Linked DNA regions of Elephas maximus indicus. The protein of the gene in region 2 interacts with the protein of the main gene of each other region in a pairwise test. Links are inferred from orthologs where the notes say so. Each region holds a gene or a part of one and is shown on either strand. Other genes may lie near its edges.

The links. The genes of interacting proteins can lie anywhere in the genome.
Region 1: the proteins of TUBGCP4 (region 2) and SDSL interact in a two-hybrid assay, tested with the Homo sapiens proteins (2 studies listed by BioGRID and IntAct). The two-hybrid records come from large-scale screens. The link is inferred for Elephas maximus indicus from reciprocal best matches to the Homo sapiens genes TUBGCP4 and SDSL.

What each region holds. Positions count from the first base shown.
Region 1 is NC_064840.1:11,502,249-11,510,027, reverse strand, and holds the start of SDSL (serine dehydratase-like), read right to left. Parts: upstream 3,389-7,779; 5' UTR 3,154-3,388; intron 447-3,153; 5' UTR 424-446; coding exon 262-423; intron 11-261; coding exon 1-10. UniProt on the Homo sapiens protein: Catalyzes the pyridoxal-phosphate-dependent dehydrative deamination of L-threonine and L-serine to ammonia and alpha-ketobutyrate and pyruvate, respectively. Also exhibits racemase activity towards L-glutamate and D-glutamate.
Region 2 is NC_064828.1:12,617,902-12,625,390, reverse strand, and holds the start of TUBGCP4 (gamma-tubulin complex component 4), read left to right. Parts: upstream 1-4,107; 5' UTR 4,108-4,114; coding exon 4,115-4,192; intron 4,193-7,489. Other genes in the region: ZSCAN29 (zinc finger and SCAN domain-containing protein 29), read right to left, coding at 1,728-1,932, 2,381-2,698. UniProt on the Homo sapiens protein: Component of the gamma-tubulin ring complex (gTuRC) which mediates microtubule nucleation.

The DNA.
Region 1 (7,779 bases), on a different chromosome or scaffold from region 2:
TCTTGGCCACCTGGGAAGAGAAGGGATGGGGTTGGGGCTAACCTGAGCAGGTGTCAGAGTGGCTGTGTGGAATGGACTTAGACCCTCTTCATTCCACCTACCCCCAACATTCCTCACCCCATACTGCCCAAAGCCCTCCCTTCCCATCTGCACAAGCTCCGTTCTCCTCTCCTGCCCTCACCACCATCTAGTCCACACCCTTCACCTCTCCCCTCCCACCTGTACAACCTTACCCCTTCCCTCCTGCCCCCACACCCTCACCTCCTGGCAGAAATGCCCGATGCCCCGGATCTTGAAGGAGCCGGCCGGCTGCACGTTCTCACACTTGAGGAGGATGGTTGTGCCCGCCACCTGGGACAGTGCCCAGCTCTCCAGCAGAGGTGTGACTGTGTGGAACTGCTCACCCATCAAGGAGCTCTCCATATGACAGCAGACACTGAGAACACCTGCAGGAAGACACAGACATCAAAGCCCAGGCGGCTCCACCCAAGAGTCCCCTTACCCAGAACAGGGAAGGGGGAGGTAGAGAATCCCCCAAATTAGGCTCCCTTAGCTCTGTCTGCTTCCAAGCTGTGAGACTCCAGCAATTATCCACACCTCTCTGAGCCTCAGTTTCCCCATCAGGACAGGGACCCTTTCATTCTGTTACTGCAGCTGCCCATGTGCTGGGGATGTAGAATGTGGCTGATGCATGGTGATGCATGAATGAATGAGGGAGTGGGGGATTCCTTCATTCATTCAAAAACATTTATGGAGCACCTACTACTGCTACATGGTTCCCAATCTGCAGTCCCAGTAATGGACAAGTTTGCCTGAGCTCACATTCTAGTTGGGGAAACAGACCATAAAATTTCTAATAAGAATGATGGGCATGGGGGTGTTATCTTATGGAGAATGGTCAGGAAAGGTCTCTTTCAGTAATAAAACTTTTAAAAACATTTATTGTGGACAAAGAAGCACAAAAAACCCTACTTTTCTCACCAGAGCAGAAAAGCCTTGGACCAGCCCACCAGTTCCACTGATGACCACCAGGGGGAGTGCTGCAGCCTCCCCAAGCACATACCCATAGGCCAAAGCCCTCAGTTAAGGCTGGGGGTCCCTGCATCAGAGCTGTTCAGACCTCTCGCCCCTAGATCTGACCCCATTCCCTTGTCAGGGTGGCCTCAGGACTCCCCAGGTAGGGCAAAGCCACCTCCTCCCACTTTCATCAATCGCACCCCCTGGTCTGGGCACTGGGGCGGGGGGCATGGGTCTTCACTAGTCCCCAAAGCCAGCATACCCCGGCCCAGGCCTCCCCTCGGCCCTGGAGCCCAAGTACATGGGCTTTGGGGACAAGCAGAGACCAAAGTTAGTAACCAGCTCTGACTGTATGACCCAGACAAACACCTTAACCTCTCTGTGTCTCAGTTTCCCTTTCTGTGAAGTGGGGGCAATAACAGTCCCTAGTGGAAACCCTGGGGGGGTAGTAGTTAGGTACTACAGCTGTTAACCAAAAGGTCAGCAGTTCAAATCCACCAGGTGCTCCTTGGAAACCCTGTGGGGCAGTTCTACTCTGTCCTATAGGGTCGCTCTGAGTCAGAATTGACTCGATGGCACTGGGTTTCGTTTTAGTTTGTAGTCCTCAGCCTGAGTAATTTGGAGATGTTCTAACAACCGGGCTGAGTACTTTAGAGACGTTGTCTCAGTGGGGCCTCACTCTAGCATCTATACAGGACACCTATGCAGTTCAGGCCCTGTCCTCTGTACCTGGGTACCATGGTAAACAAGACCAAGTTTGCTCTTGGAGCTGACTTACAGTCTGATGGGGGAGATCAGCATTTAACAAATAATCATGTAGATAAACGAAATAATTAGGCATGGTGAAAACTGTACCTAGGGAAACAAGTACATAGGGATCTGTGAAGGAGAAGAACCAGGGGACCTACTTAGGGGAGAGAAGTAAGGTGGCCTGAGAATGAACTACCCATACAACAAACTGGATGAAGTGCTTGTGCGTTACAGGGTCACTGGGAGAGTTAAATGAGGCCATAAAAGCACTGTGCCTCACGTACAGAATGTGCTTAGTAAATGGTGGCCTTTATCATCATTTCAAAGTCACAATGATTACAGCAATAGCTAATAGCAGTGTGTGATTTACTATGAGCCGGACACTGTGCCAAGCACCTTCTGTATTATTTCATTTAATCCCTACAACAACCCTATGAGATAGGTTACATTACTACGTCCATTATATAGTCAGTGAAACTGAGACCCAGAGGTTAAGTAACTTGTCCAAGGCCACAGAGCTAGAAACGGCACAGCCAGGATTCAAGTGCAGGCATTCTGGCTTTGGTGTCTGTGCTTCTAATCACTATGCATATCTCCCTTTATTATTATTATATTTAATAATTAATCGCCAGTTGTCCTTAGGAGCCAAACTCTCCTAGCTCGACCTCCAGGTTTCCCCAGCCCTCTTAGTAATACTGACCACCCACAAAAGGACAGCAGGCATCAGTTAAATGGGTAACCACAAGTTGCCAACAGCCTTGTCAAGCCCAGACTCCATCAGGGTCCCAGGCCAAAGTCAGGGAATGGGTCCCTCCCAGCCTGAGGTCTGGGGCCCAGCAGCTCTCACTGTGTGAGACAGGCCCTGGGGCTGAGCTGGAAGCACTGGGCCCACGCTGCCGCGGAGTAAAGGGCTGGGAAACATGGGCTCTGTGTGACCTCTCAGTGCCTCATTTGCAAATTGGGGGAAAGGCCTCTACCCTTTTCAGAGTCCCTGGGTGGCAGAAACAGTTAAGTGCTCAACCTGAAGCCAAAAGGCTGGCAGTCCCGTAAGGCTGGCAGTTCAAACCCACCCAGAGTTGCCTCAGAAGACAGGCCTGGCAATCTGCTTCTGAAAGTTCCCAGCTCTGAAAACCCTGTGGAGCAGTTTCATTCTTACACCCTGTACACGTGAGGACTCCATGAGCCGTATTTGACTTGAGGGAAACTAACAACAACACCCCTTTCCACCAGTCTTGCTCCCCGCCCCCCACTCCCTTTCAGTCCCTGGGGCCTTTTCCCGTAGGTCACCATTACTGGCACCAGGGCTGGGAAACCCCGGGCTGGCCCTTGGCTGGCAGATTGCCCGGCCCCCACCCCTCTGGCCAGCAGAGGGTCCCCAGTGCCTACCTTCTTCTTCAGGGCAGGCAGGGTGCAGGGTACCCTGAGCTGTCCCAAGGCTCCTGGTGGGGAGTAGGCCGCTGTCACTCCCTCTCAGTTCCCCCCACTCAGCCTGGAGTCACAGACACCACTGCACACCCTCCCCCCACACACGTGGAGAGGCCCCTCACTTCCCAGCCCGGCAGAGTCCAGCTGTGCTCAGCCCTGGCCTGCTGCCCGCCTGCTCCCAGGACACCAGCTCTGCCCAGCTTCCCGCTGCCTGAAGTGGCCTTGGCCCCGCCTCCCATGTTAAAGGGCCAGTCCCAGCTCCCAAGGCTCAGGACCGAAGAGGAAAGGGGACGAGAGCAACCCACACTGCCTCCCTATCCCACAATGCCCTGATGAAACTGAGGCTCAGAGAAGGAGCCCGCTTGGCCAAGCCACTCAGCCACAAGGGACAGAAACCTCCTTTGCCCCCCACCCCGGACTACAGTTTTCGTGACACATCTCTAAATCTTCCTCCAGCTCCGATGCTCTTCCTGGACGCCAAGCCGTTCTCCCTGGACCGTTGTTGGTGTCAGCTTAGGTGCGAGACAGGTTAGGAAAAACAAGGACAAGGATCAGCGAGCCATTTTTATCTGGCCCCTCTTTATCTCTGTTATTTTACATTCAACATAGGAAGCCAAACAAACACCTGTTGTCCAAATAAACGACTCTTGCCATTCATTCATTCATTTAACAAATTTTTTCTGGACACCTACTATGTGCCATGTCCTGGGACTCTTAGACTCAAAGAAGACAGCTTGTCCCCTTCCCTCCCGAAGCCTAATGGGGCCCTTGAAGAGCAATTAGTGTCAGTGCCATCAGAAGGGGGCAGCAGAGAGGGAGTGACGGTGGGAGCCCAGAAAAGGAAACTCACCTGGCCCTGGAGGGCTGGGAAGGTTTCCTGGAGGAGGGTAAGTCTGAGTTGAGTCAGGTATCAGGGAGCACGGAGTGCAAAGGTCTAGAATTGAAAGATTGATGTATTTCTGGACAAAGAAGGCAGGGGTAGGGCTGGAGAGGAGGGCAGGAGCCAGAGTCCACAGCGTGCCTGGGCCAGTCAAGAGTCTGGGCCTTATCCGGGGCACTAGGAAACCACAGAAGGCTTTAAGCAGGGAGTGACATGATCAGATTCACATCTTGCCTGTATCACCATCTCACTGGGTGAACCTGAGCCAGTCCTGCCCATCTCTAGCCCTCAGTTTCCCCATCTGTAAAGTGAGAGGACCAGCAAGGACTTGGCAGCCCAGGTGTTCTGTGTCCTTCTTTGATTGCATGTAACTGCCCCAGGTTTGATGATTAACTCCTGGCCCCTTGGGGTCAAGTCGAACTGCTTGGCCAGAATCCTTGAAAGGACCTGGCAACTTCACCATCATTCTCAGTATTAAACATGCACCAGTCCTAGTCTGATGTCCTGTCCTGGACTAGGTGCTGGGGACACGGGGGCAAGTGGAGGGGAAAGACCGAGTTCATGTCCTGAGACGGCCCCCAGCCTTGAGGGGAGAGGAAGACACCTAGTCCAGTGACAACTCCAAAACCCTCTTGGAGGACAGAGGGCGGCTGGGGGAGGGGGTATCAGGGAAGACTTCCTGAAGCAGGCAGGACCTTAGCACACAACTGAGGCTTGGACAAGGAACATGGCAGCTGCATTTATTGCATGCCTACTGTATGCCAGGCCCTTTCATGCTGACCAGCATATTCCAAAAGCTTGTTTTTTTTTTGTTTGTTTGTTTTAAATAATTGGATATTTCTTTCTGTGTTGGGAGTTTCATATACATATATCTGTTGTGCATTGAATTGTGTCCCCCAAAATATGTGTCAACTTGGTTCGGCCATGATTCCCAATATTGTGTGGTTGTCCTCCACTTTGTGATTGTAATTTCACGTTAGAGGATTAGGGTGGGATTTTAACACCCTCACTATTTTTTTTTTACTAAGGGCACATCCCTGATCCAATGTAAAGGGAGTTTCCCTAAGGTGTGACCTGCACCACCTTTTATCTTACAAGAGATAAAAGGAAAGGAAAGTGAGCGGAGAGGAGGGGACCTCATACCACCAAGAAAGTGCTGAGAGCAGAGCATGTCCTTTGGACCCAGGGTTCCTGGGCAGAGAAGCTCCTAGTCCCGGGGAAGATTAATGACAAGGCCGACAGAGAGAGAAAGCCTTCCCCTGAAGCTGACACCCTGAATTTAGACTTTTAGCCTACTTTACTGTGAGGAGATAAATTTCTCTTTGTTAAAGCCATCCACTTGTGGTTTTCTGTAACAGCAGCACTAGATAACTAAGACAGTATCTATTTATATGTATCTATAAAAAAAAAAAAGTATCTATGTATAAGTATCTATGTATATGTATCTATATACATATACATAGTCCTGGATGGTGTAAATGGTTAACACGCTTGGATGCTAACTGAAAGGATGAAGGTTTAAGTCCGCCCAGAGACACCTCAGAAGAAAGGCCTGGAGATCTACTTCCAAAAAATCAGCCATTGAAAACCCTGTGGGTCAGAGTTCTACTCTGTCGCACATGGAGTCACCATGAGTCAACTTGACGGAAACTGCGAGGTCTATGTATATGTTGTTGTGTGCCATCGATTCCGACTCATAGCGACCTTATATGGCAGAGTGGAACTGCCCGTCCCATAGGGTCCTCTAGGCTGTAAACTTTACAGCAGCTCACCAGGTCTTTTCTCTTGTGGTGCCACTGGTGGGTTGGAGCCGCAAGCCTTTCAATTAGCAGCCGAGTGCTTAACTATTGCACCACCGGGGCTCACTTGCTTGTTTGCTCCCTCTCCCTCTCTCTCTCTATATATATAATAATTTCAAATCCATAATTTCATGGATATTACTGCTTAGGAAGAAGCTAAAGCAGGCATTAAAGTTTGAAAAGGGAGTCTGTTTAAAGGAAAATATTAAGTTAAGGCTAGTAGTTTCTAGCATGGCAAAGCAGTATTGCTTAACGGTTTGAACACAGACCCAAATACCAGCTCTGTCACCTACTGGCTGTGTGACCTTAGTTTTCTCAATGGTAAGATGGTGATCAAATGTTACTAATGTTTAATTGGTGTGAGAGTTAAATGAGGTAATATCTGTAGAACATTGAGAACAGTAACAACTACTGCTGCTGTTGGTATTATTACTACATAGAAGTTATTGTTGTTGCTGGGTGCCATTGAGTCAGTTCCAACTCATAGCGACCATGTGTACAACAGAACAAAACACTGCCTGGTCTTGCATCATCCTCACAATCGTTGCAATGTTTTAGCCCATTGTCGCAGCCACTGTGTCAATCTATCTCACTGAGGACCTTCCTCTTTTTTGCTGACCCTCCACCAAGCATGATGTCCTTCTCCAGGGACTGGGCCCTCCTGATGGCATGTCCAAAGTACGTGGGATGAAGTCTCACCATTCTCGCTTCTAAGGAACATTCTGGCGGTTCTTCTTCTAAGACAGTTTTGTTCATTCTTCTGGCAGTCCATTGTATATTCAATATTCTTCACCAACACCATGATTCAAATGCATTAAATCTTATTCATTGTCCAGTTTTTGCATGCATATGAAGTGACTGAAAATACCATGACTTGAGTAAGCTGCGCCTTAGTCATCAAAGTTACATCTTTGCTTTAATGGACTTTTGACTCATGCCACATCATCAGATGAAGGTCCCAAAAGCTTTGCTCCATCCACGTCATTAAGGTCAACTCTACATTGAGGAGGCAGCTCTTCCCAGTCATCTCTTGAGTGCCTTCCAACCTGGAAGTTGGCACTATAACAGACAATGTGCCGCAGGTATTCATAAGGTTTTCACTGGCCGATTTTTCAAAAAAAGTAGACTACTAGGTCCTTCTTTGTCGTCTGTCTTAGTCTAGAAGCTCCTCTGAAACCTGTCCACCATGGGTGACCTTGTTGGTATTTGAAATATTGGTGGCATAGCTTTCAGCACCATAGCAACACACAAGCCACCAGAGTATGACAAACTGACAGATGAGTGGTGGTATACAGAAGAAGTGACACAAAATATGGCAAAAAATTGTGAAGGTGACACGTGAATGTCCAAAGTTTGGGGACATGAACTCGTTACCTCACAGAATCCTTACACAACCTGGAAAGGTGGGTACTGCAATGAATCCTACATTGTGGAAACAGACTCAGAGAGGCCAAGTTGCTTCCCCAAGGTCACACACCAGAGGCAGAGACAGGACTCAAGTCCAGATGGACTTGGTTGCCAAAGTTCCTGGCCTGGGTGATGGAAAGGGTGGGGAGAGGACAGGGTGGCAGCTTCAAATGAGGCTAGAGAGGTGGGCAGGTCACTGACCTGTCCCTTCTTAGAGCTGTGTTCGTCAGACAGCCCCGTCCCTGACACCTCAGGCCATCAAGCACCCACCCTGGCCAGTCATTCCCCAGGGTTATTCATTAAGCTTCATTTCACCATCTTCACCCCAGCTGGCTTTCCCGTCCACCCGGGCAAGGGAACTGCGTGGAGAGGCAGAACAGAGCCTCCAACATGGCGCTTGGCCATCCTGGATTTGCAAGTTTAACCTTGAACTCTGTGTCAAATGCTTTCTTAGTCATAAAGAATTCCCAGAAAACCCAGTGCCGTCAAGTCAATTCCGAC
Region 2 (7,489 bases):
GTCTGGGGAAATGTTTTCAGGAAGTTCAATGGGTTGAGGAAAGTGGAGCAAATACTGGAAACTTCAAAAAATGAGAATTTTCCAGAGCAGGGTGACAAGAGAACAAGGTTCTGTTGTGTGTTCAGAGCAGATAATTCTATTCCAAGTTGCTCCCTAACTGTCCTCACCACTTCTTGGCAGGAACTGCTGCACACAGTTATGTCCTGTCTCCTATAGTTCTTCACCGGGGGCTAGAGAAGCAAACTCAGTGATTTTAATGTGAGGAGGGAGTTTGTCTTCAACTCATCCATTTCCATATTCAATCGGTCACTAAGTTCTAAAGGTGCTTCCTCCCTACTGCCACCATACAAGCCCGGACTCCTCATCGGCTCAAACCTGGGTAACTGCAGCATTCACTGCCCTTATCTACCCAACCCAGGCCCTTGCCTTCTCAGTCCACAGGCTATACTGCTGCCACCACATCACTTCTCTGTTCAAAGCCTTCAACCACTCTCTAAATCCACCTCGTCCGATCCGTACTCCACTCCAGTTTTCAGCATTAGAATTAGCCCTGCCCTGCCTGTTGGCCTTCTTGTCTACCATGCATTCTCCACTCCTATTAGACTCTTCTCTCCAGAACACAGCTAACTTTTTATTTACCATTTTGTGCTTTCTCTTTAACTCTCTTCCTATCAAAATTTAACTCATCCTTCAAGAAGCTGTATTTGCCAGTGTCTCAGAGACTCTCATCTCTCACCTGGCCAAAGCCCTACAGCACTCAAGCACTGAGCAACAAGTCACTGTTTGGTCCTGTTCCAGTACAGCTCAGCACATATTTATAGTTGGGTTCTCAGTCACACTGTAAGCTCAAGAACCTGCAAGGGGCTGAGCATGCTGTCGGTGTTTAAAAACCAACTGATTTAATTCTGCCAGTCTGTGGTGGGGTTCAGGGATTTGAGCTGGATGACTAATAAAGGCCATTACCAAACTGGCTTAGAAGGCTAACGTCTTGGATGATAAGATCAGAATTCAAAATAACCTGAACAAGTTACAGAAATGATCAAAGAAAAAAAATACAAAATGGACTTCAACAGAGTTCAAAGAAGAAAAACAAGTTCTACAAAATCAATTACAAGCAGCAGCAACTAGGCACAAAACCAATAGGGAAGGCTATAAGAATCCTGGGAGTTAACAGGTGAACAAAAATTATCAAGTAATTATCAATTGGATTATACTGAAAGAAAATGCAGCAAACTTGTGAAGGAAAAGCTCCCGTTCTGCCTTATCCTCACTGGAGTAATACACAGAACTTAGTTCTCCACAATTAACATTTAGGTTAAAGGAAGTTAATGACAACTTAGGTCTGAGAATGGAGCTTCCGGGGAAAAGCTTAAAAAATAAACACAGCTTCATTTGGAGACGGAAATGACTAAAAGGAGGATGTGCCTTTAAGTACAGAAAAGAATTTTTAACTAGAAAATAATGACCTACTATTATCATTACCAAGAGGAAATAAAATAGTTCCAAGTTCTGATAAAAACTAGGAAGTTACCCTCTCATGCACTTATCAAAAGTACAAATACAAAAAACACTTACTGTAGGCTGAGAGCTTAACTACATGCCTTCAGGAGGTCCCCAACAATTGCATATCTATTTAGTCCTGAAATCCCTTTCCCGCTCACTACTCCCAACCCTATTTCTCCCAGCTCAGAATGGCACCTATCTACCCGCATGAATCTACTCCTCACCGCTCCTTTGAAAAGGTCTGAGCTTCTCCTTTGGGTTCATCTGCTCCTGTGGTCCCAGGTCTGGGCTTCTTGCCCTCTCTTTCTTGGGTACACCCCTGGGCTGGGGTTCCACTGACTCCTGCCGAACACTTAATAACTCCTGTGATGATTTCAGGGGTGTCATCTTCTCCGAGCGCACTTCCTGCCCCTTCACAGAGACTGTGACCTAGAAACAACCCCCATTAATTGTCACTGCAAGGTCATAATGGGGGGCATTCCCAGAGGAGATTAATACCCCAAAAGATCATCCTTCTGGGACATGGCTAGAGTTGTAGGGATTGGGGGTTATAACAAACAAGTAATTCCATTACTGTTAGCTTAGAGCAGCTGGAACTCCAGAATGAAAAGACCAATATAGTTAACCCAACTACAAGTTAAAAAAAAATTCCTGATTAATGAGCTACAAATAATTCATTATGGCAGGGTAGGCAAAGATACACCCAGGTAGCATCTCCAGACAAACTCTATATGAAAAAGTTACCTGTTCCAGGGTCAGAAGTATAAGCATCGTTGAAGGAGACTGTGCCCCTCTTTAAACCTATCTATACCTTAACCTGGCTGTTACCCTTACCCTTTTGCGATCACACATTTCTGAACTCCCCCTCCTTTCTCACCGAACGTCCAGGTCTTCCAAGCTGTCTTTCTAAATCTTCCACCAGAGCCACTGCCTCCTCTCCACTGTCTGGACAATGTTCCTGTACCCAGTTCTGGATCTCCCCAGGTAAGACCGCCAGGAACTGCTCTAGCACCAACAACTCTACAATCTGCTCCTTGGTGCGTGCTTCCGGCCTTAGCCACCGACAGCAAAGTTCCCAGAGTTGGCTGAAAGCCTGCCGGGGCCCTGCCACCTCCTGGTAATGGAATCTCCTGAAGCGTTGTCGGAAGGTCTCAGAGTTAGTGCCATCCCCTCTCAGAGTGGGTCTGGCCATCATTCACAGCAGAAAGCAGCTTCCCTCTACTTAAGGGTCTGGGCTCCAGGGCTTACACCTATCTTCCCATTCCTTGGAGAATCACCTGCAGTCTCTCTGTAAGAGGAGTTTCTTCCTAGGGTAGAGAGAGATGGCACTATCAGAAGGAATATATTCATACGTCTAAAATCCTGCCAGGGCTGGCCTGACTTCCCATATGCTCCAGCTGGCCATCTGAGGTAGCACCATCTTCAGGGCAGCAAGCCAAGGCTGTGAGCTGAAGGAGAGAGACCTTTCAAAAGCTGCGTTTCTGGGCGACCTCCAGGGCAGCCCGGGGAAGCACCAGAGAACGGAGTACTGTGTCTGCTCCTCTCCCACCTCCCCCAAATCCGACCCCATTTAGCTCCCTTGACCAGTACTACATAGTGAGTTCGAACCATATGGGAGACCTGGAGTTCGAGAGGATCTACAGACAAGTCACCGTCCTGCCGAGAGCAGCGGGTCGCAGCTGTGTCCCCCGTACCTCGGCAGTCCTTCCCGGGGCCCTCTCCGTCCGCCCCGCCCCCTCCGGCTCCACGACTACCAACTCCCACCCCACACAAAAATCAATTACTAAATGTCGAGTCTTTGTTTCTCCCCCTCCGCAGAGGAACCGTTCGGCGAGGACTCGAGAGCCACTGAAGGGAAACCGAGCGCATCGGGAGAAGGCAGCTCCGACTCCTGAAGCGAGGGCCGGGTGGGCTTGGGGAGAGTCACACTGAGTTGGTAGAGAGGGAGTCCAGGGAACGGTCGGGATGGGTCTCCTGAGGACGAGCCAGGGTGCCGGCCAGAGGCTCCGAGGGCTGCGGGGCTTGCCGGCGCGGAACTCGGCTCCAGGAGCGGCGGGTACGGGGTTCCGGCCTCTTTGTCTTCGCTCCCTCCGGCCGGGTCACTCTCGGAGCCCCGTGCGCTGCCTAACACGGGCCTCCGGCCGGGCTACGGCGCCCTGAGAACACTCTCCGACACAGCCCTGGGAGCGTCTCCCTCAGCCCCCTCGCACTCCTGCCCCCGGGCCAGCTTCACCCACTCAGCTCCGGCTCCAGCCCCAGATCGCCAGCCTCCCAGGCCAGCTCCCAAACCGGAAGTGCGAGCGGGCACCTCAGGGCAGAAGGGGCGCATGCGCACCGGCCGCTACTACGCCTCCATCTCCCTCCCAGCCCGGCGGGAGCGAGCGGGTGGGACACGGCGGGTCCGCGCACTTCCGGGACTCGGCGCCGACCCCTTCCGCTCTTCCCGTCCGCTGTTCCCGCAGCAGTGGTTTCGGCGGGGTAGATTCCGGACGAACTGCCCGTCCCAGCGGCCTGTGCACGCGTCGAGGCGGGAGAACTCGCCTCCGTGGTCCCCTGGAGGGGCGCTGGAGGACAGGGTGACGTGGCTAGGGAGTGGAGGTCCGCCGTGGGAATGATCCACGAGCTGCTCTTGGCTCTGAGCGGGTACCCGGGGTCCATCTTCACCTGGAACAAGCAGACCGGCCTCCAGGTACTGCGCGCGGGAACGGCGGAGCGACCGCGGGACTAGAGCCGGAGCCAGGGGGTGGGGTCTGAGGGAGCCGAGGGGGCAGGGCGTGCAGGGCCCGCGGTGTTGTAGGGGGTGTGTCCTAGGACAGACAACCGGAGCTTGGTGCCCGAGGGGCCTGAGGGAGGAACACCCTGAGAGAGCTGGGCCGAGGCAGGGAAACTGACAGCAGACCCGGAACGTCCCCGCCTTGGGGGGGACGGAGCTGCTCCATAGGGTTTTCAAGGCTGTGACCTTTTTGAAGCAGGTTGCCAGGCCTGTCTTCGGATGCTTCTGAGTTGTTCGAGCCAAGGAGCTGGGCGGCTCCGATGTAGAAGCTAAAGAGGCTCCGTCTCTCATTTTCACATTTGCACTGTGTTTCAAACTGAATTTTGAAGACTCACAGCGCTTGACTCAATAAGTGCCGAGCAAATTTTGTTGAATGAAGAAATGAACGAGAGGGTGGAGAACTTAGAAGCGGGCCTTCAAGGTACCGGGGCTGTAGGAGGAGGAAGTGCTGAGGAGTAGACGTTGTTTGGAGGCATTATCTCGTTTGGAGCCCTGGTGGTTAACAGCTTGGCCGCGAAGCAAAAGGTTGGTAGTACCAGTCCACCATCCACTCCTTGCAAACCCTGTGGGGCAGTTCTGCTCTGTCCTATAGGGTCACTATGAGTCAACAGCAATGGTTTATTTGTTTAATCTCTTTTAACCTTTGCAGTCACTTTATCTCCATTTAACAGATTAATTTAGACTCAGAATGCTAAGTAACTCCTGGGGTTACATAGATAATAGTTGTTTTTGTTCGTTGCTGAGTTGATTCCTACTCATGGTGATTCCATGTGTGCAGAGTATAGCTGCTCTATAGGATTTTCAAGGCTGTGACCTTTCAGAATCAGGTAGCCAGGCCTGTCTTCCAAGGGTGCCTCTGGGTGGGCTTGAACCGCCGTCTTGGCTAATAGTTGAGCGATAAACTATTTGTGCCACACAGGGGTTCCTAGTTAATAATTTTTCTCCTGTGCTGTCAAGTCAGTTCCAACTCATAGTGACCCTGTGTGACAGAGTAGAACTGCCCCATAGGGTTTGCTAGGCTGTAATCTTTACAGGAGCAGATCACCAGGTGGGCTGGAACTGCTGCTGACCTTTGGGTTTGCAGCAAGCTCCTAATCATTGTGCCACCAGGGCTCTTTAGCTAATAATTAAAACCACACCCACTGCCATCGAGTCAATTCTGACTCCGTAAAGATGCCCCACGGGGTTTTCAACACTGTATGGTAATCTTTTCTACCATGCTTTTGTCAGTTTGTCATACTGTGCTAGCTTGCATGTTGCTGTGATGCTGGAAGCTATGCCACCGGTATTTCAGATAGCAGCGGGGTTACCCATGGTGGACAGGTTTCAGCGGAGCTTCCAGACTAAGAATAGACTACGAAGAAGGACCTGGTGGTCTACTTCTGAAAAAATTGTCCAGTGAAAACCTTATGAATAACAGAACATTGTCTGATAATAGTGCTGGAAGATGAGCCCCTCAAGTTGGAAGGTACTCAAAATACTACTGGGGAAGACTGCATCCTTAAAGTAGAGTTGACCTCAATGACGTGGGTTGAGTCAAGCTTTCAGGACCTTCGTTTGCTGATGTGACATGACTCAAAATGAAAAGAAAAAGCCGCAAACATCCATTAATAATAGGAACATGGAATGTATGAAGTATGAATCTAGGAAAATTGAAAGTTTAAAAAATGAGATGGAATGCATGAAGATCAATATCCTAGGCATTAGTAAGCTGAAATGGACAGGGTGTTAGTCGTCTTGAATCAGACAGTTATATGGTCTACTATGCCACGAATGACAAATTGAAGAGGAATGGCGTTGCATTCATCATCAGAAAGAACGTTTCAAGATCTATCCTGAAGTACAGCGCTGTCAGTGATAGGAAAATTCCATACACCTACAAGGAAGACCAGTTAATACGACTGTTATTCAAATTTACACACCAACCACTAATGCTAAAGATGGAGAAATTGAAGATTTTTACCAACTTCTGCAGACTGAAATTGATCAAACATGCAATCAAGATGCATTCATAATTACTGGTGATTGGAATGTGGAAGTTGGAAACAAAGAAGGATTGGTAGTTGGAAAATATGGCCTTGGTGAGACGCCAGAGATCGCATGATAGAATTTTGCAAGACCAACAACTTCTTCGTTGCAAATACCTTTTTTCAACAACATAAACGGCAGCTATGCACTGTGAACCCCACCAGATGGAAAACACAGGAATCAAATTGACCACATCTGTGGAAAAAGACAATGGAAAAGCTCAATACCATCAGAACAAGGCCGGGCCAACTGCGTTCAGAACAAGGCCAGCCAACTGCAGAACAGACCACTAATTGCTCGTACATAAGTTCAAGTTGAAGCTGAGGAAAATTAAAACAAGACCATGAGAACCAACGTATGACCTCAAGTATATCCCACCCGAATTTAGAAACCATCTCAAGAATCGATTTGATGCATTGAACACTGATGGCTGAACACCAGACAAGTTATGGGATGAAGAAAGTAAAAGGTCATGAAAAAGATGGGAAAGAAAACACCCAAATGGATGTCAAAAGAGACACTGAAATTTGCTTTTAAATGTAGAGCAGCTGAAGCAAATTGGAAGAAATGATGAAGTAAAAGAGCTGAAAAGATTTCAAAGGGCAGCTCAAGAAGACAAAGTAAAATATTATAATGAAATGGGTAAAGACCTGGAGTTAGAAAACCAAAAGGGAAGAACACGCTTGGCATTTCTTAAGCAGCAAAAACTGATAAAAAAAAATTCAAGCCTTGAGTTGAAATTTTGAAGGATTCAACGGGGGAAACATTGAATGATGCAGAAAACATCAAAAGAAGATGGAAAGAATAGACAGTCCCTGTACCAAAAAGAATTGGTTAACATTCACCCATTTCCGGAGGTAGCATATGATCAAGAACCAATGGTATTGAGGGAAGAAGTCCAAGCTGCACTGACGGAATTGGCGAATAGCAAGGGTCCAGGAATTGATGGCATAGCAATTGAGATGTTTCAGGAAACAAATGCAGCGCCAGAGGCACTTACTTGTTTAGGCGAACAAATTTGGAAGACATCTACCTGAAAGGTGATCCAACAGGATGCCCAAATTATTCAACAATATCATTAATATCACACCAAATTTTGCTGATGATAATTCAGAAGTAGTTGCAGCCATACATTGACAGGGACCTGCCAGAAATTCAAGCAGGATTCAGAAGAGGATGTGGAAT